3 linked regions of the Diceros bicornis minor genome follow. The protein of the gene in region 3 interacts with the protein of the main gene of each other region in a pairwise test. Links are inferred from orthologs where the notes say so. Each region holds a gene or a part of one and is shown on either strand. Other genes may lie near its edges.

The links.
Region 1: the proteins of MKRN3 (region 3) and FAM110A interact in binary tests that used the Homo sapiens proteins (3 or more experiments, as listed by UniProt). The two-hybrid records come from large-scale screens. The link is inferred for Diceros bicornis minor from reciprocal best matches to the Homo sapiens genes MKRN3 and FAM110A.
Region 2: the proteins of MKRN3 (region 3) and TCHP interact in binary tests that used the Homo sapiens proteins (3 or more experiments, as listed by UniProt). The two-hybrid records come from large-scale screens. The link is inferred for Diceros bicornis minor from reciprocal best matches to the Homo sapiens genes MKRN3 and TCHP.

Annotation. Positions count from the first base shown.
Region 1 is NC_080758.1:28,925,301-28,935,045, reverse strand, and holds the start of FAM110A (protein FAM110A), read right to left. Parts: upstream 4,840-9,745; 5' UTR 4,679-4,839; intron 1-4,678.
Region 2 is NC_080774.1:17,707,223-17,717,180, forward strand, and holds the start of TCHP (trichoplein keratin filament-binding protein), read right to left. Parts: upstream 4,840-9,958; 5' UTR 4,756-4,839; intron 3,544-4,755; coding exon 3,350-3,543; intron 2,830-3,349; coding exon 2,619-2,829; intron 2,003-2,618; coding exon 1,946-2,002; intron 202-1,945; coding exon 133-201; intron 1-132. UniProt on the Homo sapiens protein: Tumor suppressor which has the ability to inhibit cell growth and be pro-apoptotic during cell stress. Inhibits cell growth in bladder and prostate cancer cells by a down-regulation of HSPB1 by inhibiting its phosphorylation.
Region 3 is NC_080744.1:77,046,069-77,055,965, forward strand, and holds MKRN3 (probable E3 ubiquitin-protein ligase makorin-3), read right to left. Parts: upstream 4,369-9,897; 5' UTR 4,297-4,368; coding exon 2,806-4,296; 3' UTR 1,661-2,805; downstream 1-1,660. UniProt on the Homo sapiens protein: E3 ubiquitin ligase catalyzing the covalent attachment of ubiquitin moieties onto substrate proteins.

The sequences.
Region 1 (9,745 bases), on a different chromosome or scaffold from region 3:
CGTTCCCTCCTGTTCCTGAACACACCAAGGTCTTTCCTGCCTCAGGGCCTTTGCACCATCTGTTCTCTGCCTGGAACCTCTTCCCTCACCTCCTTGATGTTTCACTTCAAATGTCACCTTCTCAGAGAGGCCTCCCTGACCACCCTGAGGCTCCTGCCAACTCTCTCACCAGTTTGTTCCCTTCCAAGCATTCATCACATCTTGTCATCTTAGATAGTCACTTATCTATCACTTGTTTCCTGTCTCTCCCACCATCACACTCTTCCATATTTCCTTCCTCCAGGAACCAAGCACAAGAGGGGACACTATTGAGCAAGTGGTAGGACTGGAACTCAGGCCACCTCAAAGGCCAAGACTCCTCAGCACCCTGCGTCCTCCCAACCCCGAAGCTGCCCCAGGCCTTCCCCCACCTCTCCCCCTCCTCCTCCAACATCAAGTCACTCATTCAAGCTGGGCTCTGGCCACTTCTAGCTGAGCCCAGTTCTTCCTCCACAGACAACACATCTAAACCTCTGCACACGCGGGGTCCACAGCCCGCAGGGCCCTTTTCCACTCCATCCCCTGGCCACCTTTGCAGCAGGGACTCTGGCACCAGCCTGCCTGCATTCAAATCCCAGCTCCACCAGGAGACCTCAGGTAAGATACTCAACTTCTCCGTGCCTCGGTTTCCCCAATTGTAACATAGAATTCCTCAGTGCCTCCCTCCCAGCATGAGGCCTGTGCTGACAAATGCCACCAAAATGTGAGCTATGACAACCATTCAACCAAATAGATGCTCCAGTGCCCAGCTCCTGGGCGAGGCCTTCACCGGCCCAGAATGTTGAGCCACTTCTCTCAGAGGCTACAAATCTAAGAGTGCAGAGTCACTGGAATAGACATTTCTCCAAAGAAGGTATACAAATGGCCAACATCACTACTCATTAGGGAAATGCACATCAAAACCAGAATGAGAGGCCGGCCCCGTGGCTTAGCAGTTAAGTGCGCGCGCTCCGCTGCTGGCGGCCCGGGTTTGGATCCCGGGCGCGCACCGATGCACCGCTTCTCCGGCCATGCTGAGGCCGCGTCCCACACACAGCAACTAGAAGGCTGTGCAACTATGACATACAACTACCTACTGGGGCTTTGGGGGGGTGGAAAAAAAGCCCACAGGAGCTATCATGTCACATCCCTTAAGATGGCCATTATCAAACAAACAAACAAAAACAGAAAATAACAATGTTGGTGAGGATGTGGAGAAATTAGAACCCTTGTGCACTCTTGGGAATATAAAATGGTCCAGCCACTGTGGAAACAGTATGGCCGTTAGGCAAAAATTTTAAAATAGAATGACCATAGGACCCAGCAATTTTACTCCTAGGTGTATACCCTAAAGAGTTGAAAGCAGGGACGGGAACAGATATTTGTACACCAGTGTTCACAGCAGCATTATTCACAATAGCCAAAAGGTAGAAGCAATCCACATGTCCACGGATGGATGAATAGATAAATAAAATATAATACATAAAATGGAATGTTATCTAGCCTTAAAAAGGAAGGAATTCCTGACACATGCTACAATATGGATGAACCTTGAAGACATTATGCTAAGTGAGATAAGCCAGTCACAAAAGGAAAAATATTGTATGATTCCACTTACATGAGGTACCTAGAGTGTCAAATTCATAGAGACAGAAGGTAGAATGGTGGCTGCCAGGGGCTGGGGGGAGAGGGAATGGAGGGTTACTGTTTAATGGGTACAGAGTTTTCATCTGGGAAAATGGAAAAGTTCTGGAGATGGATGGGGGCAATGGTTGCACAACAATGCGAATGTACTTAATGCATTGAACTGTACACTTAAAAATAGTTAAGATGGTAAATTTTATTTTATATACATTTTACTGAAAAAGGGAGGGTGCAGAGTCTGGAGCCAGAGTCCCTGGATTCAAATTCCAGCTCTTGGTGACTTCATGCAAGTCGCTAAACCTCTCTGGTGCTCAGTTTCCCTTCACAAGGTGGAAATAATAACAGCAGTAACTACCTTACGTCGTAGAATTGAGGGAATTAAATGAGTTCATATTGTAAAGTACTTTGCACGTAGTAAGTGCTGAAGAGGTATGGTTTCTGACGTTTATAATTTTCATGACATTCTGCACCCCCACCCCTTCCTTCCACTTGCTTCTCTGTTTCTCTTCAGCAGAAGCCAGGCCCAGACTCGGATGGAGACAGAGAGGCCCTCACCTGCCCAGAGGAGGATCAGAAAGGCTCCAGGCAGCAGGGAGAGTGCCTGGCCAGTAGGGCAGCCTTAGCTCGATTTCAGCCCAGCTGTCCAGGTCAGAGACATCCAGCTGGGCACCGTCCAGGGCCACGTCAGGCCCCACGCTATTTCTGGAGTCTCCCCAGACACCTGTCTCCTGGCCTGTCCAGAGTCAGCCTCGCCCAGGGCTGCAGAAACCTAGGAAGAGAGATGTGAGCGGACTGCGGGAGGGGTGTGGGTGCAGACGCCTAAGGCTTCAATCTCCTCTTTGGCCCACCAACGGTCCATCTCCTCCAACTCAATTCTCTGGGCCTCAGTTTGCACCTGAGGTTGCAAAATGGGGACAAAGGGGCTTGTAGGGAAGACTGAATAAGAGAGATACCACATGCAAAGCCTTTGGGAAGGGCCTGGCACACAGGATGGGGAAGGGACAGACCCACAGCCAAGCCCACTTCCTGTTCTGGATTGTCCTCTGCCCAGGCCTGAGCTCACCATCATGGCTTCTTTTTGCAGCCCAGAGAAGTGAAGAAACTTGCCCAAAGTCACACAGCAAGTCAGTGACAGATAACAGACAGGACAGTGGTCTCCTGATTAAATATATTCCCTATAATGAATATATATATGTTTATTTCAATCAGGTGATATACACACATGGTTCAAAATTCAAGAGCTATAAAGGGAATGGAGTGAAAAAAAACTCCCTGCCGCTCCTGTCCCCAGCCACCAGTTCCCCTCCCTGCAGGCACCACTGTGACCAAATAGTTGTATGTCCTTCCGGAGAGATTTTAGGCCCATACCAGCAATAATAGACACATTCTTTCTATTTTTTACACATATGGCAACATGGTGGGTACTGTTTCCATCTTGCTCTTTTTACTCAATAATATGTGTTGTTCTTAATAATATGTTATTAACATATTAATTATAATATTTTATTAACATACTTAATAATATACGTTGTGCCACATCAGTACATAAAGAGCCCATCAGCCCCTGCGGATGGCCACTCAGGCTGTGTCCAATCTTTCTCGATTACAAACCACACACCAGCATCACTGCACCTACATCATTTTGCCTAGAAGTGTGACAGCCGGGTCCGGGGATGCACATGTAATTGTGATGGAGTAGGGGGACGGCGCTCCACGGAGGCCATCCAAGTAGATCTCCCACCAGCACAACACACAGCAAATGGTCAATAAACATTCACTTTAGTTATTTAGTTACTGGGGTTGGGGGCACTCCTCAATTTTGTGCTGGAGGCGAGTGCCTCACTTGCCTCACCCTGGCCCCTCCTTGCATCACATTCCAGTCGGGGAAGATAATAAACTCACTAGTAGGTGAAATTATAGGACATCAGACAGGGTAAATGCTACTGAGAAAAACAAAATAGACACGGGGGAGGGCAGGGCATATGAAGTCAATAAATATTTGTTGAAAGAATGAATGAAAGACTTGTTTTCTTTCTGAGTTCCCAGAGCTCCTCTGCCCAAAGCCAGGAGGAGAGTGCAGAGGGGAGAGGATAAGTAACTCCCTTTGAGAACATTCAAGATTCTCAGATGCTATGATTCTGAGTGTCTAGGATTCCAAGATTGAAGCCAGATGGACCGGGAGCCAGGTCCAGCAGTTGCCAAGGCTGACAGTGTGACTTTGGGCAAGGGGCTTAACTTAAACCTCAGTTTCCCCACCTACAAAAGGAAACCAACAATAGCAACCTGGGGGAAGGGGCAGCCCCAGGAAGCAGGGCCAGGTCTGGGTCAGATGCTCCACCAGGAGGGGTCCCAGCCCCACCTCCAACTCCAGTCTCTGGTGACTAGTGGCTTCAGTTGAGGAACTGCCTCTGCCCTTTCCCCAGACCTGGGGCAGATTCGCAAGAGTTCAACACCGACTCCAGGGCAGGAGCATCTGCTGCCCACCTGGCACCTAGCCCAGAAATGTCCGTCCTGCCCAGTACCCCCAGAGCGGCCCTCTGAGAGGGACAGCAGTGTAAGTCAGAGCCCTGTAGGCAGAAGGACCCTAATAAGCCCTGAGTGCAACCCCTGGCGCTCTGGAGAAGGTAAGACAGATGGCCAGAGGGGACACCCCTCCCCGAGGACGGTGCAGGGAGGGGCAGGGGGGAGGTGATCCAGCCAGGGCTCCACGGGCCGTGTCCCTGCTGATAAGAGGCTGAGAAAGTGGCCACCAGTTGCCCGTCTGGGCCTCTCAAGGCAAATCTAGATCTGCCTAGACTAGAGACCGCGAGGCGGAGCAGAGAAACCTGAATCGGATTCTCTGTGGGACCTCGCTAGGCTAGGACACCTGGCTCTCTGAGCCTCAGCGTTCTCATCCATGAAACGGGGTACCACGCCTCCCGGCGGGTGTGACGCGGGAAGGACGCACACAGCAGGCGCTCGGGGAACGGAGCCCCCGTAGACCCGGGCTCGCGCCCCAGACCGCCCGCGCCCTCACCTGGAGCCCGCGCTGCGCGAGTCCCGGCTCGTCCGGCGCGGGTCTCGGAGAGGCTGACAGCTCGGACCCGGGCAGGGAATGGGCGCGCCCAACGCGGCTCGGGAGGCCCCGGCCCCGCGTGAGGACCCGCAGGCGCCTCTTCGGCGCTGCCCTCCGCACCGAGATGAGCGGGGCACCCGCCTGTCCCGAGCCCCCGACCGGAGCGAAGGTCCCCGCGGCGCAGAGGAAGGGGAAGTGAGCACGCGCCCTCCCCGCCGTCGGCGGAATGGTTTGCCCCGGACATCCTGATTGGTTTCTCGCTTCCGTTCGAACGCCGCGCCGCCGGGGTTGCCAGGCGACCGCTGAGCTTCGGCGCCGCGCGTGAGCGCCCCTGCTCGCAGCCCGCCCGCTCGCCTCCAGTTCCTCCGACGGCGCTTTAGCTCCGGGCCTGGTTCTTTCCCTTGCTCAGCCCGGACTTTCCCCTGGTTCCCAGCTGGACGAGGCACTACTTAGGGTCCCCAAGTGGTTCCTAGTCCCCAGTTTGCAGCTAACTCGCCACGTGAGCCCGGGCAAGCCCCTTTCCCTCTCTGTTCCCCCAGCTGCACAATGATGAGTAGGTTAGTTTTGAAATACGCGTACCCAGCAGTCCTGAAATTTACTAAGGAAATGACCAAAGATGAGCAAGGATTAATATAGCCCAGCGTTATTTATCATAGCAAAATAATGGAAATAACTTCAATGCTCAGCGAAAGGAGATTGGTTATATGAATCTATCCTGCAGAAGAGACAAGTTTATCCAGCATTCACATGCCAAGTAGCTTTACATAACATAACTCAGTGCTCATGGCATAATCCTCTGAGATAGGTACCTTTAGTTATACCCATTTTCTGATGAGGAATATTTTGTCATTAGTGCTGCTGAGTGGATTCTGACCCCTAGTAACCCTGTGCACACAGAGTGGAACCCTGCCCAGTATTTTTGCGCCATCCTCTCACCTTCCGGCGCTATATCAGACAACACTCCGCTGCTGTTCATAGGGTTTTCATGGCCAGTTTTTCCAAAGTGGGTGGCCAGGTCTTTCTTCCTAGTCTGTCTAGTCCGGAAGCTCCGCTGAAATTTGTCCACCATGGGTGACCCCGCTGGTATTTGAGATACTGGTGGCGTAGCTTTCAGCATCACAGCAACAAACAGCCGCCTCGATACAACTGACAGACTGGTGGTGTGGTTCCCTAACTGGGAAATGAACCTGGGCCTCCGCAGTGAGAGTGCTGAATCTTAACCACTGAACCACCAGGGCTGGCGATGAGGAATATTATGCAGCCACTAAAAATGATGTAGTTAGGGGCTGGCCCCGTGGCGTAGCGGTTAAGTTCACATGCTCCACTTCCGTCACCTGCACACCCACACCACTTGTTGGTGGCCATGCTGTGGTGGCAACCCACGTGCGAAATAGAGGAGGACTGGCACAGATGTTAGCTCAGGGCCAATCTTCCTCAGCAAAAAAAAAAAAATGTGTTTGAAAGATACTTAAAGTATGGATAAAATGCTAAGAAAGTGTTAAGTTTTTAAAAAGTATGTTTCAAAGCACTATGTACAACATGAATATGTATTAAATACATAATTGTAATATCCCATGTATATATGTGTAATCATTTATAATAACAGCAGTTAATTTCTTCTTTGTGCTTTTGTGGATTTTCCAAATTTCCAACACTTAAACATGTGAAGAAAAAAAAAACACATATTTTTAAGAGGATTAGAATAAATTAACTCTAAGGGCCCTTCGAGATGAGGAAATTCTGTTGCTGTGAGCCACTGTGTGGGTCTAGCACCTTGCTCAGTTTGGAACCAGCCTCTGTTTTCTATTCCCGATGGTGTCTTTTTTCTTGGGTTGGATTGTCAACGACTGAGCACTTACTGTGTACACGCCTTGGGCAGACGGGGGAGGAGGACCAATAATGTATCAATAGCTAACCATGATTTCGTGTTCTGGCCTGGGCACCAATCAAATCAGAACAGATACTGCCATGAACAGGGGTTCTGGCCGTGTCTGTGAGGACCAGCTAGACAGCAAACCCGGCACTAACTGTGCCCCCTGCCAGGCTCTCCAGGCCTTACACATTTCCTCATTTGTCTTCGTTACTGTCTGAGCACAGGGAGTCTATTACTCCCATTTTATAGATGAGAAAACTAGGGTTTGTCTGGCTCCAGCAGGAGTCCTCTCCCCTGTTCCGTTACATTCCCGCGCAAGTGTGCACGACCTGCTTGGCTGCGCCAGTGAGGAAAGGCAAGGGGAATCCCACAATCCGAAAAGACACGGAGAAAACTGAGCCGGGGCGGACCCAGAGAAAACTGAGCCGGGGCAGACCCAGACTTGGTGCTTCCTGCGGCTGAGACAGTTTAGGGGGACTTATTTAAGAAAAAGACTACAAACTTACAAATATAAAATGAGGTAATAAAGTGATTATTTGGTTAGAAAGATAAAAGAAACCTCAACAAATGACAAATTCCACAAACATTACAAAATCCAGAGAAGTAACATTATTTTTCTGAGTTACCTGCTTGACATGCCTCCATAATACTTTCCCCAAACAAGCGTCTGGCTCCCCGTCCACATTTCTCCGCTGCCACGTCCGGGTGGTATCGGGCACTGTAAGACCACTTGGATATCGTGATATGACCTCTGACCCTGCACCTGCACGTCACAGTGCTCGTTGAGGCAGCTCAGTGAGCTAGGTAGGGGTACTCCCGGAAACCATTCCTATACCAGGTCAGTTGGTAATAATTGCGCTATTCACAAAAGTGACTGGAAACAATGTAAATTAAACCACTAAACCCACACTAAATGTCAAGGTCCTCTTAGCCAGAGCCCCAAAATTCCTTACTCACCCCAACATCATCTGACACAAGGGGAAGTCAGAGTGGAAGGAGACGGTGGTTGGTCTTAACAGAGTGAGGTTAAAATGCCTTACTTTGGCAAATTTTACGAAAGCATCCGACCGTGTGAAGCCTCCCAGACCTCGCTTCCCGGTCATTCACACGGGAATGACTGTGACGGTGTTGTGGTCAGATTCTTCTCCGAGATGTTCAGCTTTAATCGGGGGTTGGAAGATATTTGAGATGCGGGGACAAAGGCCCTGCTGCCGCCCGCATCTTCAAGGCTTGCTCTGCCCTGCACGCCCCACAGTTTAGCACGAGCAAGACAACACAACCCTGCGCCTCGCCCCCAGATTAAGAAAGCGTGGCGGACAGAGGGCAGAAGGAACCTCCCCTGGACTCCAGATTAGGCCCCACGAAGAGAGGTCATCGGGGCACACCTGGATTCTGGAACTCTGAGCATCCTCACATGACAACAGCATCCTGGTGATGGCCCCCATCTTCAAGGATCTGTTGAGCACCTGGTGCCAATTCAGGGTGACTGAAGCATCCAGTCCTTCCCCTCCCCCACCGCGGGGGGTGGGGAGGGGGAGCCCGGAATAAGAAGGTAGACAAGCTGTCCTTAGTGTGCCCAGGTCAGAGGGAGCTGGAGGGTCCTGTGGCCTTATCCTGACCCCGCAGGTGAGCATCTCACCGCGTGGACAGGCCTCCCCCGGCACCCTGACCCTGGCAGTATTTGCTCCACTCAGCTAGAAACTGAGATGAAATCAGCCTTGGATATCAGTTCCCTATCTTCTGGGCACCCCGGGCTGTATTTTGTTTTGTTTCATTTAATTTAAAGCGTATTCTCTCTATATGTATTTGCTTGCGTCTGAACTTCTCTGGAAGGACCCACCAGAAACTGGTCCCAGTGGTGGCTGCTAGGCTGACTGGGGGACAGGGGAAAGAGAATAGCTTCTTAGAAAATACATTGTTATACCTTTTGGATTTTGTACCTTATCAATGTATTATCTATTTAAAAAAATAAGGAACACTTTTAAGGATAGTCTATGAGAGAACAAAATAAGGCAGTGAATTAAAAGAAAACTCAGCCCAAATATGTCCCTCCAAACACTGAAAGTGAGAAGGTCAATTGAGATGCCCTTTCTGAAGGGCAATATAGTCACACTTCTCAAAAAAATTTGAGAAATTTTGTGCCGTATCAATAGGCCAGTACTCTGATCTAGCAACTGTACTTTTAGAAACAGACCCTAACCGAATAATGAAAGAGATTCAGAAAGATCTAACAAGAAGAATATTTACTACAGCATTGCTATTAACAGCAAAAAAAAAAAAAAAAAAAAAAAAGAGGAAACAATTAAAACCTAATAAACCTAATTTCCTGGCCACAGAGCAATGGAAACGGTGGATGGGACTGGAATGGAATACCATACAGCCATTAAACATGATGTTTGTGAAGAATATTAAGTGATATGAAAAGATTTTTTTAATATTTTATCTCTCAACTCATTTATTTGTTCCAGAAATATTTTTTGAGCATCTATCACATAGATGTACGCACGTCTTTCTGAGCCTCAGTTTCCTCACCTGTAAGATGAGCGTTCAGTCTGCCTCCCTCCCTGGCTTGTGAGGCACAGCCCCTGACTGACCCTCAGTGCCCTTGGCTGTTATTTCGGCTGCTGTTCTTATGAGGCTGTTTGCTAGTATAAGCTCATGGGGCAGCGTGTCCCTGAGTATCGCTCCCCTGCCCAAATGCTCCAAGGGCCCCCCAACAAGCTTTGAAGACCATGGCCTTTGGAGCTGACCCCTGTTAACTTCATGTTCTACCACCCTCCCCCTCAGCCCAGCTCTCTCCAGCCACTGGCCCCTGTGTTGCTTCTCAAATACACCAAGCACCCTCAGGCCTCAGGGCCTTTGCACATGCTGTTCCCTCTGCTGGGCCCCTCTTCCCCCAGACAGCCACACAGCTGCCCCCTCACCTCCTCCCTCACCTCCTTCGGGTCTCTGCTCAAATGTCATCCTCCCAGGGAAACCTTTCATGCTCCCCCCTCATTCACATTTCTCTTCAGGGAGCTTCACTTCCTGACATTGGTGTGTCCCTGTGCCTGTGTCTGGTCTGTCTCCTCCACCACCCGTGAGCTCCCAGAAGGCAGGGTCCGCACTCCTCTCACCCACTTTTCCTGCAGTTAGAGATTCGCAATGCCCATCAC
Region 2 (9,958 bases), on a different chromosome or scaffold from region 3:
GTTAAGTAAACTGAGAAAGAGTCTATTCCTGGATTGGCCTCATTAACATTAAAAACAAGAAACAAATTCAAAGACATGGAGACAGTCTCCCACCATAGCGCGTGGGACTATTTCCAGAGTCACAAGCCACACCTGTTTCTTTTCTTCTTGCTGTGTTTCCCAAGAGTTTATCACGTGCTTCTTGTGAAGGTCCAATTCAATCTGAGGATGAGAAGGGGCAGAATATGAATGTCCTCACCGGTCCACCTGACAGATCTTCACGTGCAGCACAGTGCCATGCACTGGAACGTGACCATGACTTCCCTCTGTGAGGACTCAGAGTGGCCCAGGGGTCTTGGAAGCTCATGGTGAGCCCAACACACGTAGTCTGAACGCAAATCAATTAGACAACCACAGGCCAGGCAGTTCTAAACCAACCTCAAGACTGGAACAAAGTCAAGTTCCCTTGGGGTTGAGCAGGAACAGCTCAGCAGACACTGAAATGGAAATACAACCTCAAAGGCCACCCTGGCTGGTCTAAAGGACGCGGGGCCCCAGGGCCGCAGGAGCTGGGGGAGGGGCAGACAGCTCCCTGTCTGGCTCCCCAGCACTTCCTCCACACAACAGCGGCTGTGCAAACACGTATCCCTGTAGCACAAGATGCACGCTCTACTTGATGCAACAAGTGTGGGGTTATTAATAATCTGGGTTTAGAGAATCTTTTGGATCAGAACATGAATTGCAATACTCTGTCCAAAAGCTTTTGTTTGGGAAATTGTTTATGAAAGTTTAAATTTCCGTCTCAACTTACAAATATGAACATTTACACCTAACTTGAATGTTCTGAATAAACTTTTCTGAGTGAGTGACTTTAGAGGACCCCTTAGCCCAACAAATGGCCAGGGAGAGGGGTCCCCCCATGGTTTAGTGCTAACTGCACAATACTCCACAGCACCCAGATGCTTCATTACTCATGACCGGCAATTTCTACATGTAATCATGAATATATAAATTAACACCACCAAACGCATACACAAACTGTTAGCTGAAATTAGTTACTGAGCTCAGTGATGTGATCATCTCCCTCTAGCCCAATCTCCACTGAACAATGGCACCCAAGCCATGACGCACCCCCGCCACCTCCAGGTCCTGCAGATTTGTCCTCTCTCCTGCCACCCCAGTTTGGGCCTCACCATCACTCACTGGGCTGCTACAGCCGCCCCTCACCTGGCATCACCTCTTCCCACCCCTCTCCACATGGCTGCCAGAGCTGCTGCTCCCCAAAATGCAGCTGGGATCCCATTCCACCCCTGTGTAAAATCATCCAGGCGCTCCCCAGTGCTTCCAAGGGAAGGCTGCACAAGGCTGCCGAAGTCTGGCCCCGTCTGCCTCCCCAGCCTCAGCTCTTGGGGCTCCCCCTCCCTATCTGACATCCTAGCCTCCCAGCCACTTGTAGCTCCCTGGACTCGCTCTGCTCGCATGACTCAGATCTGCTTCTTGCACGGTTGCCTCGATCTAGAATGTCCTTTCCTCACTTCTACACCATCAAGTTAACATCTCATGTCCTTCCAAACTCCTCCACCCCAGCAACTCCTCTGGGATGCCTCCCCGACCTCCCACTGAGTTGGGTGCACTGCCCTGACGCCCTTCTTCCCAGGCCTGCCCAGCACCGTGCATCCTGCACTGTTACAAGCTGCCCACTGCTCCCCCACTGGACCGTGAGCTCCTTAAGAGTGGAGACCACCTCTGATCTCCACGCCCCGACATGTGGACACTGCAGCAGATGTTCAATAAACAGTGGTTAAACAAGCAAATGAACCAAATCTTCTGCATGGTGCTCTTTTCCGGTGGCTGAAGTGTTCCCTCCTCTGTTTGACCCCAGCACAAGATCCAAGTTTAAAACAAGCTGGCTAAAATTATTTCATCTACTTAGGCAAATCAACGGAGGGATCTCCTTGGTTTTCACCTCTCGAAGTCTGGGGTTGTTCTTTTTCCAGTGTTCGTACAAAAGCTGTTCGGCAAGCTGTCAAGAAAACACAGAGAGGGAAAGCTGACGTTGCTTTTCAAATCCACTCACATTTTGGAGAACCGGCAATGGAAGTCAGCTCAGGCTAAGAGCTGCTCCACTGGCACGCTGTCACTACACCTGCCTTCAGACCTCCTGCCTGCCTGGCACCCCTGGCTCCGGGAGCCAGACACTTGAGTGGACCTGGACAGCATGACAAATCACTCTTACAATGGTGACAAAAGGGGGCCAAAATCTGATGTTTCAGATGGGTCCTAGATGCTACAGACCTGCTTCCAAATATATAGCAGGCTTAAAACACAGCTTGGGGCTCACCATTCCACACAACTACTTTGGAAGATAAAATACACCAGTCCCAGGCCTTTGTGGGACCATAGAACTTGAATAAAGAAAAAGGACTCAGATGTAATGATTTAAGGGGCCAAAGAAAAGAGGGATGACTTATGCAAAACACACGTGAAGAACAACTTAGAGTAAGCACTTTTCCCAGCTGGCTCGGGAGTTATCGCCATCTCACCAGACCAGAGCACCCAGCGGTGACCCCACATGCACAACGCTGATGGGCTCGGGATGCCCCGGCTCCATAGCTTCCTAAAGGGCTGTGAGAAGTTACCAGTTTCCTTTGCTCTTCTCGGGCCGACTTCAGATTCCCGTGCCGCTCCCGGATTCTTCTTTCCCGCGAGTTCATGCTCAGCCTCAGCTCCTCCAGTTCCTTGGCCAGCAAGTCCTGCTCCTCCAGCAGAAGCTGCCTGAGTCTCTCCCGTCTGGCTTCCAGATGCTTCCTCTTCTCCTCCTTCATCTTCTCACGCTGATAAGCATGCATGCTGGGTGAGAAGGAGCCCACCGTAAATCAATCATGCCACAGCCACACGTGGAACGCTCTGCTCTGCTGTGTGGGTAAAAGAGGCTGAGGGAGACTTAACATGCTGACACGGGAAGGTGTCCTCCAGCCAAAGTGAAGAGAGCAGGTCACAGAACACTACGCATTGTAGAATCTTGTTTTATATTTGTATATATTTATATACACACACAAATGGGAAAAAGTATGAGAGGACATGAATCAGGCTGTTAACTGTGGTTCTCTCTGGGGATGTGGAGTTACAAGAAAACTTCCAGATTCTCCAGATTATTGCTTTATCTTTTGCAGTGCAAAAGTTTTACTTCACTGAGGGTCTTTTTTTTCAATTTACAGTTGGAAAAACCTCATGCAGGTAATCTACGCTGTTCCGCAAACCCCTCGAGAAAACATGCTGTCACGCCACACTCTCCTGGTCCTTAAGGCCACATCCCCTCCCCAGCAGATGGCCCCCCAGCATCATCCAATCACAGTCACTACACAGTTACCTCTGCTGGTAGGAGGTCTTGGAGCTCCATTCTGCCTGTTTGGAGCTGCAGAGGTCGGACATCCGGAAGTAGTGGCTGTTCTGATCCCACTGCTGCCGGAGCCGGGCCTCCTGCTCTCGCTGTCGCTGTCGTGCTGTCTGCTGATCCTGGAGCCTCCGGCTGCACCAGTATGAGGGCAGCGTGGGGAGGGCCATCTGAGAACAGCAATGGTAGGAAAATGAGTCGCTACAACCCCAGGAACCCTCACAAGCTTGGCCTCATCCCTTTCATAAGTGGTCCTCCCCGCCTGGCTGCACGCTGGAATCGCCCGGTGGAGGATGGCCCCATTCCAGACCAATTAAATCAAACAAGTCTTGGTGTAGGCCCCAGACATCAGCATTTTTTAAATGATCTGCCATCACGGTTGCGAATCATCGGTTTAAATAAGCCTAGATGGCACCCGGCTATGGGCAGACACCATCAAGGGCACTGGAGATGGAGACAGGGAACCACTCTTAGCAATGCTGGACCAAGCACAACAGGGCCTTGTATGCTCTGCTTAAAGTAACACGGATAGTAATTTAAGGAACATGTGTATGTGCCAAACTTTTGACATTCATGACCTTTTCATTGTTATAATCACCCCATTATTCGGCAGGTGAAGCAGCTTAAGTTCAAAGAGGTAAAGTGACTTGCCCAAGACCACAAAGCTGGGAAGCAGAGGAAATAAGAGAGCTGGGATCCTAATTCATGTCGGTCAGAGACCTGGGCCCGGGCTCTGTAGACTGCAAGAGGCTGCCAGTTGGGAGCACGATGCCCCGGCTTTGGCCAGAAGGGGCCTAGCCTAGGTGTCACACCTGGAAGTTTCCTGGGTTACATGGAGGGCAGATCCCTCATCCTACAGATGGAGAAACTGCTACCCAGAGAGAGGAGTGGATTTGCCAGGGTCACAGAGCAATCAGGGAACACAACTGGACTCTTGAATGCAGAGCAGTCTCACTCGGGACACCTTTTCCCCTGACCCAACAGCTGCCCGCATGTGCAGGGTTTACACAGTGCTTGACTGGGACAGTGCGTAAGGAACGTCTGCTGAATAAGCCCATAGGCCCGGGTCCACGCCAGGTCTCAGACTCCGAGGCCTCCAGAGCTGGGGGAAACCATCCGCGGCTGTGGGCCAAGTTTAGCCTGCGGCTGCCAGTTGATGCTCTGTCTCGAGACTGTGGCGGGCTTGACAGACTTTCTTCCTCGCCCTGTGAGCCGCCCGTGGATAAATCTTTGCACCAGGAGCCAAGAAACTTAAGATTCCGGTGCCGGATCGGCCACCCACAAGCTGAGCGGCTCCCTGAACCCCGGAAGCCAGCGCGGGGCCGCCTGCGGCCGGGCTCTGCGGGTCCCGGCTCCCGGCCGCGCCCCACCTTCCCACTCACGTTTCCGAAGAGTCCCCCGGCCCGAGCTCCCGCGCGCCTCAACCAAGCCCGGCCGGTCCCGCCGCGACACTCCGCGGCAGCGCAGCACCAACGCCGGCCGTTTCTCGTTGCCCGGGCAACGGACCGGTGACGGAGCGCCGCGAGGGTCAAGCCGCCTCCCGCGCAACGCCGGGCGCGCAGAGACAGGAGGCTGTGGTTTTTCTCTGGCGCCCCCTCGTGGTGGGCGGGAGATAATCGCAAACGTCGTTAGTCCTGGAAACAGAAGGATGATGGAAAAGAATCCACTTACTACACAAAATTCAGGATGGTGGTTACCTGGAGGAATGAAGGTGAGGGTGGGGGGAAATCAGGGGGGTACGATAGGAGAGGGGAATAACAATCAGTGGTTCTTAAGCCTGGCTGCACATGAGAATCATCTGGGGAGCTCTTAAAAATACAGATGCCTTAAAAAATAAAATCCAGATGCCCAGACCAAACTCCAGACAAATCCCATCAGGCTCTCTGCGGGTATCAGTGGCTATCTAAGCTCCCCAGGTGGGTTCAGTGTGCAACCAGCTGGGAGAACCACTGGTGTAAGTAGATATGAGTTATTGGTGACTTTCCATTGTCCTCTTAGATTGGTGGTGGGTTCAAGGGTGTTCATTCTGTTAGAATGTTTTATAACTCACGAGTGTTACAAATAATGTTTTATGTATCAACTATTTCATTAAAAAGATAATAAAGAAAAATATTCACTCTTTCATTCATTCTCCTGTTATTTTCTTCATGTCTTCTTCCTTTCATTCCTTTATCAGTTTCTGTTTTTCCTGGATACAGTATAGTATCCTGTTGAACATCGTGGTCTCTATTCCAACCTCCACCACGCAAGTTGTGTGGTCTTGGGCGGGTCACCTGATCACTCTGTGCCTCAGCATCATGTCTGTGAAATGAGAATGTTACAGTAATTGAACAAGGGGGCCATTGGACCAGGGTGGCTCTAACGGCTCTGTAGCCCAGCTACCAAACCGAAACCTAAGCCGGAGTCAATGTGCTCGAATCCAAGAAAATGGAACTTACCAATCACAGTCAAGTAGGCTTCCCCAAATAAGGCCACCACTACATCCAATCAACCCATTTCCTTCTGAGTCTTCTCTATAGAAACCTCTCCCCTGGTTCCTGTTGGTGGAGCGCTCCCAAACACCTTTGGTTTGACGCTCCCCAATTTGAATCCATGTATGCTCAAATAAACCCTTGAAAATTTTAATGTGCCTCTGTTTACCTTTTAACAAGAATACCAACAGTGCTGCTTTCTAGGGCTGCCTCCTGAGAGGAAATGAAGATTTAAATGATGAGTGCCCTGGAGCAGAGCACCTGGGGCATCTCCAGCGAGCATGCTTTCTTTCTCATCTCCCTTTTCTTGACATGTGTTTACTCGGAGTCTGCTCTGCCCCGGGCATGAGCTTCCCCACGGTTACCCTCCCATTGGTCCCTACCCCTTTGGCCAAGCTCACGGCCACTTTTCCATATTGTGTTCCCAGCGGGCAAGAGAGGCAGAGCCACCCACTGTGACCAGCCCAGCCAGAGCTGCCCCCCAATGCAAGAGCTCACTGTTGTTGGCAAGACTCCTTGAGTGGTAAGAACTTCAGAAATACGTGAATCGGGTCACTTTAGGTTCTGATTTTGTGCCTCTTGGGTGAGGCTCTTCCTCTCTCTGGGCCTCGGTTTCCTCATCTGTATAATGGCCTTAAAGGACCAAACAAACCCCACTAGTGGGACTCAAGGGCCTAGGGCTAGACTGGCCTGGTCCTGGAAGCCTGAGCCCCAGGCCATGGCCTCTGGGCTTCTTCTGCTGGACAGTCATCCTCACCAGCACCCACTATTCAACTTCTAATGAGCATCTTTACAAGTATCTTTTCCTTTGTTCCTCCCAGGAGCCCTGTTGTCCCCATTTTAGAGTTGCCTAAACTGAGCCCCAGAGAGGCGGCATCACTTGCCCAAGGAACCACAGCGTGTAGGTGGTAGAGCCAGGATTTGAACCCAGCTCTGTCTGACTCCAGGGCCTGTGCCCTCTCAGCAGCACCACGAGGGCAGGACTCATTACCTTCCCTGCTGTCGTTCCAGCGCCTGGCCCATAGGAGGCACTCAATCAATATTTGTTGAGAATGAATGAGTAGATTCCCCAGCTTGGAGTCCCTTCTCTTCCTTCTCCCAAAGAAAAAGGGAAAGATGGTGTTGAAAGAAAGACAAAAAGGAACTAACGTTGTTTGAATACCTACCAGGTGCCAGATGCTTTTAGGTGGATTCCCTTGCTTAAGCCTCCTTCCAACCTGTGAGGTTCCTGCCCCCATTTTGCAGATGAGAAAAGTGAGCCTCAGAGGTGAAGCAACTCTCCTGAGGTCACACAGCAAGGACTATGAGAGCCAGGACTTACACCCAACCTCCAGAGCTTGCGAATCTCTCTTCAGTCTGCTTTTCCAGGAGCTTGCAGCTTGCAGGTGTAGCTCTTAAAAGAAGCCAGCGGATGCGGACCAGCTGGGCCAGATCAAGAGTTCAGCAACATTAAATGTTCAGTGACAGGTTGATGAGGATGGCCCACAGGGGGCTGAAAGAGGAAGCCCTGGCAGGGGACTGTCGAGGTGGACGCTGCACACACTGGGTCCTGGGCCAGCGCACAGTTACTCAGGGCTGTTCTTGGACTTGTGTCTTTGGCTGTCCTACCACGGGAGTAGAAAACAGGAATGAGGAGATGGTGTGATAGCCCGAGAGCAGCTCCCCATTAGCTGGAATGTGACAGCGCTGGAGGCCGTGCAAGGCTGTCACTTAATTAGCAGGTGGGATTGCCAATGCACATTTATCTACACTGGGTTATCATGCATTTCAACATGAGCCATTCTGGCTTCTCTCTTCTGCCCTGCGCTGGGCTCCCCATCCTCCCTGAAGACAAAGGATGCAGAAGTAAACGGGGAGCTCCAAGACCCTGGGGCTATGGGGCTGCCTCTCAGAGCCTCAGTTTTGTGTTTTAATAATAATAACAACAGGAATAATAATGTGTAGGTATCCATGAGAAAAAAGTGTAAAAGGGCTTTCACCAAAAACAGTGGCTATCACTAGGGGGCAGGATGAGGGGTGATTTTAATTTTTATTTCTCTCTGGGTTTTTAATTTTACGATGGTCACTCTTACTTGTGTAACTTATTAAAAAGTAATGCGCTGGTTGGTTAATCATAACAACCTGCGTTTCCATCATGTTTTATACTTCCTGAGGTGCTTGCAGTGCACCAGTGGCTCTCAACTGTGGCTGCAGGTCTGAATCACCTGGAGAGATTTTTTAAAATCCTGATACTTGATCCGAGACAGAGGTTCTGATTTAATTGGCCAGGGATGGGGCCTGGGAGTCTTTTTTTTTTTTCTTTTTTTTGCTGAGGAAGATTTTCCCTGAGCTAACATCTGTGCCAATCTTCCTCTATTTTGCATGTGGGTCACCACCACAGCATGGCCACTGACAAGTGGTGTAGGTCCACGCCCAGGCACCAAACCTGGGCCACCAAAGCACAGCACACCAAACTTAACCACGAGGCCACGGGGCCAACCATAGGAGGCTATTTTTTTTACTGAACTTTTAATTTTAGAATAGTTTTAGATTTATAGAAAAATTGCAAAGGTAATTGCAAAGGTTATACTTCGCATCGACTTTCTCCAGATATTAACATTTTATATACGTTATATGCTTCTGTAGGACGAAGTCTGACATGGGTCTCATGGGGTTAAGTTCAAGGTGCCAGCAAGGCTGCATTCCTCTCTGGAGGCTCTAGAGGAAACAGGTTTCTTTGCCTTTTCCAGCTTGTAGAGACCACCACATTCCTTGGCTCGTGGCCCCTTTCTCCTTCTTCAAACCAGCAGCATAGCATCTCCCTCTCACCATTCTTCACTAGCCACATCTCCCTGGACCACAGCTGGGAAGGCTTCTCCACTTTTAAGGATTCATGTACCTACCTGGATAATTCAGGATAACCACCCCATCTCAAGGTTTTTAACCTTAATCTCATCTGCAAAGTCCCTTTTGCCATGTAGGGTAACATATTCACAGGTTCTGGGATTAGGAGGTCGAGGCCATTATTCCACCTACCATGGAGGGAAGGGGAGCACAACCTTCATCGTGGTTCACTTTTAGTTATTGTCATTCAATTTTATTTGTTTGTTTGTTTTCCCTGGATGCTACCACATCGATTATCCCCCCAAGCACTCCTGGCCTATGGCGCTTACCTCCTTCCTGCCAATGTGGAGGTCATCGCCGTGAAAGAAACCTGTGCAGGTAATCCTGCCCTCCTCTGGTGTGTGGGCAGACTCTCCCATTACGCCTCCATTGATGCCTCATCTGTAAATCAGGTGAGCTCATCAGACCTTATTCTAACAGGCCTGCTACTCTGTGTAGAGGAAGCTGGAAAATGGAATTCAGTTCCAGAACCTTCCATCCAGAACCCTCAGGTAGCTCAGCCTGCTTCCATCTGGAGTACATTTATCTGTTGGAATGGCTCTAACTTCTGTTGGTATTCATATTATTTTTCAAAGCCAGCCCGATGTGAAGGAAGGAGCCTCCAATTAGCCCCAAATTATTTCATATCTCTGAACTTCAGTTTTCTCATCTGTAAAATGGGGATAATAGTACCGGTTTGTTATTTTTTTTTTATTGCGGTAACATTGGTTTATAACATTGTATAAATTTCAGGTGTACATCATTATCCTTCTATTTCTGCATAGATTATATCATGTTCACCATCCAAATACTAATTACAATCCATCACCACACACATGTGCCTAATCATCCCTTTTGCCCTCCTCCCTCCCCCCTTCCCCTCTGGTAACCACCAATCCAATCTCCTTCTCTATGTGTTTGTTTGTCGTTTTTATCTACCAGTTTGTTATCAACTGCCGCCCTAACCCAGTCTTGGACACATTATCAGCAGTTGATACATGATAACTCTTGGTGTTATAAGTGCCCTAATCCTGACAATTTCAGCATCGCATCTGCCTCAATGAATGCTTGGTTTATTTCCCTCTCCGCTAAAGAAGGAGCTGGGAATTGTTACTTATTGCTCACCCCAGCTGATTAACTTGGTCATTCCCCCAGCTTCCCTGCTCAAGGTGATCAGGGTGGGGCATTTACTCCTCTCTGTGTAGTTCAGGGGTAAACCCTGATTTGTCTGAGCCATCTGGGGGGGGACCAC
Region 3 (9,897 bases):
AACTGAGGTATAGAAAATTTAAGTAACTTGCTCCAGACCGCATGGCTGGTAAAAGGGAGAGTCAGGTTTCTAATTATCCTTTGTCTGTCACCCAAACCATTTTCTCTTCTACGAACCCTTGTCCCACTATACCTCCTAAATTTTATTATGATTGTTTGGTTCAAGATACTATCTGAATAAAAATGTGATTATTTCACAATGTAGTTAATGTATATTAGGGCAACATTTTCAAAGCTTTCCAGGCTTGGCTTAAAAACCCCTCCTTGACTGCTGAGTCACTACTCAGAGCCTATTTTCTGAGCCTTTGGTATCAGTACAGTTTTTGGGAGTGCTGCATCTGGTCCTGTTCTTTGGCTGTTTGGTCATCTAACCCCTCCTTTCGCTGCATGACTGGGGCAGCCTCAAGGGTGGGAACACGTTTAGATTTCTTTTCGAATCACTCACCCCATGTGCCAGTAATAGCCAGGCATCTAGTGCCTCCCAATTGGTGAATTCTCTGGATAAGAGGAATCACAAGGGAAGGAATATGGCAAAGACTCCAGTGAAACAGGCTGAGATACTTATCCATAAAATGTAAGGGATCATGTAAGAAGGTAGGCAGTGTATAAACATGGAAGGCTGAGGCACGTTCTTAGCAGTAGACTAAGAAATACCGAGTCTGGCAGCCCACAGATAAAGCCCCAAGTCTCCCACCTTTTGCAGGAGCTTATTTATGCCCATCTCTGTCCCACCTGGCTGAAATTAAAGATTTCACACATGCTTCCAGTAGCTATATTCAGCCGAGCCACCTGCTCCTGGTCATATATGTGGGGGAAGAGGCAGCACAGTGCCTGTGCTCTGGAAATACACTGAGTTCCATTAGCTGTTCCACTAATTTATACCTATGGGTCATAGCTATATGGGCAAGTAACTTAACCTCTCTACCTTATTTACCCCAAGAAAAATTACCTGAGAAAAATTATAGCAGGTACCACACAAAGTGGTTCTGAGAATTAATTTAGTGCTTTGCAGAGTGCTTAGTATACAGTATAAAATCTGTAAATGCACCCTGTCTTTGTTGGATAGTCAGGGCAGTCTGAATTTCCTGGGACTCAGGCGCCCAGCATATCATCAGCTACTGTAGCCAGGAGAAGAGCATTCTGCAGTTGGTGCATACAGCGTTTTATACTGGTCAACTAGGTAAACTGTTAAAATTGTGCTGTTAAATATACATTATTTCTTTCTCTGCTTATTCAGTTACTGAAAAGATCTATTAAAATTGCCCACTAAGATTTTGTATTTTTCTACTCTTAATTCTTTGTATATATGATGCTATGTTAATAAATGAATGAAAAATTGGAATAGTTTTATCTTCCTAGTAAATTATAGTTTTTTACATACCATCCTTATTTATCTACAGTAATATGTTTTTCTTTAATATGAACTTTGTCTATGATAAAAAGTCACAGCACCTCTGTTTGATTTTTTCATCTTCTTTTAATGTTTCTATATTCTTATACTGTAGGTGTGTATTTTAAATAGCAACAGATTCATTTTAATTTTAATCAAGTCTGATAATCTTTTAGTTTTTAAACCATTTTCATTTAATCTAATTATGGTGTATTTGTATTATAAACTTTCCGTATTACTATTGTATTTAGTTTTTGTTACTTTCTACATTCTATTTTTAAATTTTTCCATTGTTGCATTCAGACTGGTTTCAATATTTTTATTATTTTATTTTATATTTTATAATCTTGTCACTTATATGTTGAAATTTTTGTCAAAAGCCCTTTGTTTGGAATGTCTATAGACAATACAAAATATTGAATACAAAAACTGTGTGTATGAGTCCAGGATTGTACTGTTATAGGAGATAATGAGATGATGCTAAACTGCATGGGAACACACATTTTTATATTTATAATAGCAGAGTGAGCTATTAATGCCATCATAGGAAAGACCAATGCCATATTTTGTAAGTCCTTTAAGATCTGTCTGCCACTTTTGACCAGAGCCTCTTGAATAGCTGTTTTCATCAGATGCTAATCACTGAAGCCTGTGAAAGGGAAAGATCATTCACACACCTCACACTCACACAACACAGTGAATCCTATTAGCCTTTGACTTCCAGCTTCCAGCTCCAAATTTACTTTATTACATAAACATTATAGCATAGTATGATGTATATCTTTTATATATATTTTCAAATACATAACTTTTATACACATTTATATGCATCTCTCTCTTTATATATATATATATATATATATATAATTCTTAAATACACACTTCCAAATATAAATAATTTCACATCAAGCTAAACAGGATAAAAACATGTAAACATATGCACCTAGTTCTGGTCAAGTAAAACACAAAACCACAAGGTAACCACAAGTTAAAGAGCGCACTTGAAGGGGATGAGGGAAGGAACAACATGTAAACAACAAGAGATGAGCAGCTGCACCACAAGGCCCCGCCAGGGTCCATTTCTTAAGGCTGTAGTAGCAAAAAGCTCCTTGTTCAGTTAAGACTTCTCCCTTCACCCTGTCACATTTATTCTTGAGGGACTTCAAAATGAGTGTGGAAATTCTGTAAACACTAGACTAGAACTGAGTCACTCCTGTTGAAAACAGAGACGACAAAATAAACCATAAACTGACAGTAATATTAATTTCACCAAACAATAACTTTAAGGACTTTCGATTGCTTTTTAACACAGTGAGACACCATAATCATAGGGGGAAACAAATGGGATGGGCAAGAAAACAGAGATGGATGCTCCATGAAAATGACTTCAACAGCCCCTGTGAGTGACAGATGTGTCTACAAACAGAAAACAGGCAATAGCGGATGACGGAGCCTCAGCACACTAGACCACATGCCACAGCATAATGCTACAGACTCAAATTGAAATGTTTTTTCTAGCTCATAATGAAGCAAGTCCCACTGGTCCTCTGAGAAGGGGAGCTCATTATCTCCCAGTGAAAGGAAACACTTAAACAACAGATTGGCCAGCCGAAGCATGACAAGCTCTTTTTTACAGCTTTTAAAGGGCATGTCGCCCTCTCCCACCTGCACAGGATCCTCTCCCAGGCCCTCAGGGTCTGCATGCTTGTAAAAACAGTTCTCTCCAAATGGGCAATAACCCCCGCTTGCAGCAAAATACCTGCAGGTCTTGTTTCTCATTGCCTCCTTGTACTGCTGAATAAGTTTCTGCTTCTCTTCTTCTTCCTCCACCCAGAACTCACTGGGAATAACAAGGCTGGAAGTGACCCTGCACTGCGGGCAGGATTTGACCAGCCTGCTCCCAAAGTGTTTGGCACTCCTCCACCTGCGGATACACTTAAGACAGTAGGCGTGGTTGCAGTTGGAGAGGATGCCAAAGCGGCGGTCACTGGGGTTGGCTCTGTCATACACCACCTCCATGCAGATGCCACACACTTTGTCCAGACTGCGCTGCACAGCAAACGAGAGTTCCATATCCTTCTCGTGTGCTTCAATGCAGGCCCTTACATGTTCTTCCCTCTGGACAGCATCCACCGGGTGTAAGACCTGTAGCCCACACATATCGCATATGTCTCCGTGGACATACATACATCTCTCCCCACGAAAGCATTGCCCCATGATAGCATCGCGGCAAAGCTGCTCCCCCGTGCCCACAGCAATCTGCTCCCTCTCAGTCACTGAGCTCTGCAGAGGAGCCTCGGGGACAACAAGGGCCCTGCGGCCCCGGTAGGGTTGCCCGGGAACAAACTCAATGGCATCCGCCCAGCCTTCTGCACCTGCTCCTCCGGCAGCTTCCAGGCCTGCACTCTCTCTCTCAGCTTCAAAGAAACCCCTTTCAGCAGCCGAGCCAATCACAGGCAAGGAGCGTGAGGACGCAGCAGGGGGGGCTTTCGCCACTTCCTGAGGCAGGGTCTCAACGTGCGCAGCCGTGCTGGCGCCTCGGCCTGCAGAGGCCCCAGGCGGCGAACTACGACCCTCCCTGGCCATCTGCCGGCCTGAGAGGTCGTGGGAGTAGCGACAGTTCTCCCCCTCCTTGCACCGCCCATGCAGATAATACCTGCAGGTGATTTGCTTTGTCCAGCTGCCGCTGCTCCGGCTCGGCAGCCAGCTGGGCCCGGCCCCTCCCCCTGAGGCCTGGGCAGGCCTCCGACGTGACGCTCGGAGGAGGGCCGGGCTCGGAACCGCAACTTGCCGGGGGGCAGGGCGCACGGGCAGACGGGGCCCTCCAGGACCCTCCCCTGCTGCCGCAGCACCCGTAGGGGCCCCAGCTGCCTCAGAGGCTTCAGAGGGAGCTGCAGGCTCTTCCATGGCAGCTTCTGTGCCCTGAAATGGTGCCGGAACTTCCCCGGTGCCTCTTCCTTTTGGGCTTGAGGCCCGGAGGTCAGTAACCGGCCCGGGGCTCGTCTTTGGGAAATGTGCATCTCTTTTCCTTCCCCCCACTCTCTACTTCCTGTGACTATGAGTTCCTACTTCCCTTTCTGGGCAGGCGCGGCGGACACTTCCTGTGGGAACAACGTCAGTCCTCTGTCGCGTCCGTACGGCGTGCTCGGATCCGTACAGCTGGCATGAGAGTCGGAGCGGAAGCTGCCTTTGTTTGCATCAGGCAGGGCTGCCAGCCCCTCCTCTCCAGCCTCTGTCTTGCTCCGATGCACGCCAGCTGATCCCCCAGCCGCTCGTCGGCCGTCTCCCGTGGAGGACGTAATCGCGGCCTTTGAGGTTTTAAATTTAATCTCTTCTAGCATTCCTGATTGCTTTTTCACATATGTCTATTTTAAAAATCACAATTCTGTCTTCCCCCCTGTGCTTAAAAATTCACCTTGTAGTTCGTGAAATATCTCATACGTGAATTTTATAATTTTATAAATTATTTTGCGTTCACTCCCTTTTGTCTGTGTGGGTCTTTTTTTTTTTTCTTTGTCTCATGACTGTAACTTCTAGAAGCTTTTTCGGTACATTTTCTTGACGATGCGTCATATTTTCTGGTCTTTATTTTCTGGAAATTCATGTGGGCTTACATCGGGAACGTTTTTCGCCAGCAAGGCGTTAGCGGGAGCGCTTGTGATCTGAGGCCGCTTTAGCACCTTTGAGATGTCTCAGCTCATTGTAGTCTCTCTCTCTCCCCTCCTGTGCAGAAGCCGCAGGCTTTGTCCTGTCCCTATGCTGGCTTAATAAGCTGCTGTCCCCTATGTGACCCTGGCTTTTATTTTCTCTTGCTGGTTTAACTCATGGTGGCCTTTTGTTTCCCTTTCTTTCTTTCTTTCACCCAGCTTTGTGTGGAATTGTGGCAGGCCAGTATTTCGTAACATATTCTATACCCTTCTGCTCTCAAATGGTGCCTTTTAATTTCCCTGTGTGTGAGCTCTGTTATTTTGCAGATAGATGTTATTAGATTAGTAAAATAAATTATATTCCTGCTTTGCTAAGAGTACTAACCATGAATGTATAGTGAATTTTATCATGTAGTTGTTTGCATTTTTTGAGAGATGATCATATGGTATTTTTTCCTTTTATTCTCTTAATGTGATTATTTGCACTGATAGATTTTCAAATATTCAACTTACCATTTTTTTCTAAGAATAAACCTTTCTGTGTTATGATGTATCATCATTTTATATATTACTGAATTTTTGTTTGCTAAAATGAATTTCTCAGAGGGAATTCTATAGCCTAAATTTATATTTTAAAATGGGAGAAAGTTTGAATGTAGCACAGAAATCAGATTGAAGCAAATAATAAAACTAATAAATTATTAAAGAAAAACAAACATGAAGTCAGGGGAATGAATCAAAACCCTTTGAAAGGATTATTGAAACAGATACATTCTAGTGAAATTTATCAAAAAAACATGAAGGCTCAAATAATCAAGATCAGAAATTTTAAAAGTGTTATAAGTACATTAATAACAGACATTAAAATCATGAGAGGATACCAGGAACAAAGTTAGGCCATTAAATTTGAAAAATTACATGAAATGGTTATATTTCTAGAAACATGTCTATTAATTAAAAATGACAGGAGCAGAAGTAGGAAACATAAATATTGATCTGTTAGATAAATGAAATCTGTAATTAAAAATAATTCTCTAAATGAAAGCTTTTAAAGCTTTCCCTTTGAAATAAATAAAAAGGAAAAAAATTTTATGCTTATTGTTACAAGTCCAAGCCAGTACAATGAGGCAAGAAAAGAAATAAATGATGTTAGAATTGGAAAGGAACTATTAATGGAAGACAGCAGAAAACTGAGAATAATTTACTGATAAACCATTAGATTTAATAAGCACATTTAGCAAGGACATTGGATAGGAGTGCAATATATAAAATCAGTTATATGTATATCATCAATATCACTTAAATATTTAAAATTCATAACATTAAAAGTTAACTATCCTAGAAATTAAAGTTTTAAAAATTAAAATCATGTTTATTTAAGAAGACCTAAACAAATCGAGGAATACTCTGATTATGCAGTGAAAGTCTCAATATTTTCAAAGGTAGTCTTTTCCTAATTTGATAATCATATGAGAATGTTGCTGTTTATCCACCATGAATCTAGGAAATCTTGGTGATTTTGAATTCTCCTTTATATAGTTATTGAGTTTTGTGCTGAGGATGCCAGTTCTTCCAAAGTCAGACTCACTTGCATTTGCTTTCCTTTCCTAAATGCGTTGGTTCATGCATATTCCTTTTACAGTCCCGAAGATTTTCACAGGAAAAAAGACTTGGAGCACAGATACTAGGCTTATATACCAGGCTCTTCACATATTCATGAATATAAAAATCCTGAACATAAGCCTATTATTTGTTTAATATATTCCCAGTACTGTGTCTAAATTATATTTGATCCATTTTTTATAGACAAGCACTGTCCAATAGAATGTTCTATGATGATTTGATATTTGTGCTATCCAGTACAGTAGCCTTTAACCCCACATGGCTCTTGAGCACTTGAGATGTGGCTAGAGTGACTTAGGAATTGAATTTGTATTTTTTTAATTTCAAAATTAATTTAAATAGCCATATGTGGCTAGTAGCTACTGTCTTAGTGAAGTTCTAGATAGTATGTGATCATCCCATCGCCTCAAACAAAGGAATGGAGATTTCCTAAATTGCCCAAGGCTATGCAGCTGCCACGGGGCAGGGTTTGCCTTCAGATCCCCACTGTGTGGCTCCCACTGGTGTTCATGTCCTACCATTTCATAGTGTACTATATCTTAGAGTTTTATAGTGGCAATATTTCATATACACTATTAGAAACTAAAATTGTACCCCATGATTATAAATATCACGTGAAATTGAATAACTGGAAATAATGGGCAGTGCGTCTTTAGAGAAATGAACACATAGTTCCTGTCCTGATCAAATACCTATTCTCAGAGAATTTTGTCTGACTGTCATAGATCATATTCTTGTCCTGATTTTTTTTTTTGAGCACTGATGGTTTCATACAGTCTCTGAGAACACACATCTGATCATTTCTCCAGTTACTGGGCTTGGCTGAGCCCTCTTTTCCCAAGAAACCTTAGGGCTGGGACCTGGCCGAAGCTAACTTGTACACACACCAGTCTTCAGGCCAGCATGAGATCTCCTGGCTGGTCAGCATTTGGGTGTCCAAGTGGACTGAATAAAAGCAAGGCTCCTCCTCAGCAGGCTGCAATAAGCACCTAGGTCACCAGGAGCAGAGTCACAAGGGGGGAGGTGGTTTACAGCACTGCAGGGCTGAGGCACAGTCCAGGCAGTGTAACAAAAGCCCAAGAGGTAGGAGACTAGTACAGAAGTAGAGTGTAGGATGGATAGAAAAGAGCCAGGAGGCCCGGCAGTCTTTTATTCCAAACAGCTCAGGCCTTCTGGGCCCAGTCCCATGTGGCTGATGTGTCCATATTTAAAGGACACAAATTGTTTCAAAGCAGTTTGCTCCCCCACACACACCTGCTTCAGATCCAACATTTAGGCACTACTGGAGTGTGTGAGGGCGTTAAAAGAAAGTGTCTAGAATGAGGCATCAGGGATTCAAATCTGGACTCTATACTCTCCAACTAAGAATTAACCTTGGGCAAATTAATCATCCTCTTTTAGCTCATCTGGAAAATGATGGGAATAATAATACTAATAATAACAATAATAATAATGAGTGATTATCTCACAGATCTACTATGAGTATTAAAAGAGAGAATTTTTATTAAACGATTGGAACAGTGCCTGTTACAAGGCATAGTCTTTGAGATCTCCATAAATGTCCTTTGTATTTTAGAATCACTCAAATCATCCTGTGAGTAAAGTCTCTAGGCACAGTCTCTTTTTATGTTTCTGGATCCAGCAGTAATATGTCTATAGGATCCCTGGAAATTCTTGCACATAAGAGGTAGTGAAAGAATACTTATTTTCTCATACTGTTGGACAAACTGATTTTTATTTTGAAATTTACAGAGACAGTTTTCTGCAACTCTGGTTCAGAAGTCCAAACTCACCAAATTTCATGCATTAATTATGTGCAGTTTTTTGTTTATTAACTATATCTCAATAAAGCTGGAAAATAACAAGTTGAGCTTTAAAATCAGGCAAAAATAAATATCTTATTTAAAAAAAGAAGTTCAGTTGTGGGTACCTTTGTGCGGTACTTTTTGTCCCCTCATCACTTGTAATTGCCATGGGATTGTGCGTGGGATAGGACTGCTTTAGCTCATCCTGGGAGAGAGTGGGCTAGTTTGAGGAATCCACATCTGGTCACCATGAGTGAACAGCTAGATGACAAGAAAGTTACTCAAAAATGCCTTTCTAATTGCATATTTCAATATGGATATAAAAAGGGTATAAATTATCCTAAAGCCATTTGAATATAGTATCATAAAAATTGCTATGATTATAAAAATTATACCGAATTATATATATTGTAATTAAACATTGAAAATTTCAAGAAATTTTCTGGATGCTTTTCTACAAGTGCCAAGAATTTAGCTACTTTATATACTTTAATGTGGTTAGCAAAATATTCATATCATATTCATATTGATATATTTTACACATCTAAAACATACTTAAATTTCAATTTCTAGCCGGATTAAATAGCTTGCATAATGCTAATATTTCCGTCCAGAACAATGATAGAAACTGGATAAATACATGAAGTAAATGTTTGAAGGACTTGGAAAACAGCTAATGTGGTGAGAGGTTAAGGGGCAAAACCCAAGAGAGAGCACTAAAAAACCTAAATCACTTATGAGTTATAGAAGAAATCACAAAGAAAAGGAGAAAATATTTTCAGCTGAACAACATATTAAAACATTTACGATGCACCTGCAGTGACACTTAGAGGCAAAATTTATAGCCTAAATACATTCATAAGGAAGGAAGAAGCTTCATTTCCAGGAGATAGAAAAAATAAAGATGAAAAGACAGAGATGGGGGGAGAATGTCACACAATAATGTTGGAGTCCTATTGCCTCCTTCCTATTTAGGAAGAGGAAATAGATGCTGTGCCATGTGTACACTCAGACCTGCATGCCCTGGCCACAGAGAAAAAAGGACACAATTAATCTGAATCTTGGTTCCTTGGAGAAGGAGTGCTTTTCATTTTTTAAAATATAAAAATACACATAGAATTTTCCATGTTCCTTCCTCTGTTCCTTTCTTCCAACAAAATGTTTAGGCAGTTCTTAAAGAGAGTTGTGAACAGCCATACCTAACTAACCGGAAGATGTTCTCCCACGTGGAAAAATAGGAAAGTGTATTAATATTTCTCACCACTAGAGGGCTGGGATGTGATTCGTTGAATAACCCCAGGAAAGTTACAGAGATTTTGATAACATGATTAATACTATTGATCTAATTGATGTATATAAAAACACCACACCCACCAACTCTAGTCTGTGCAAATCACACATCGGACACTTATGACAATTACAGCATATTGGGC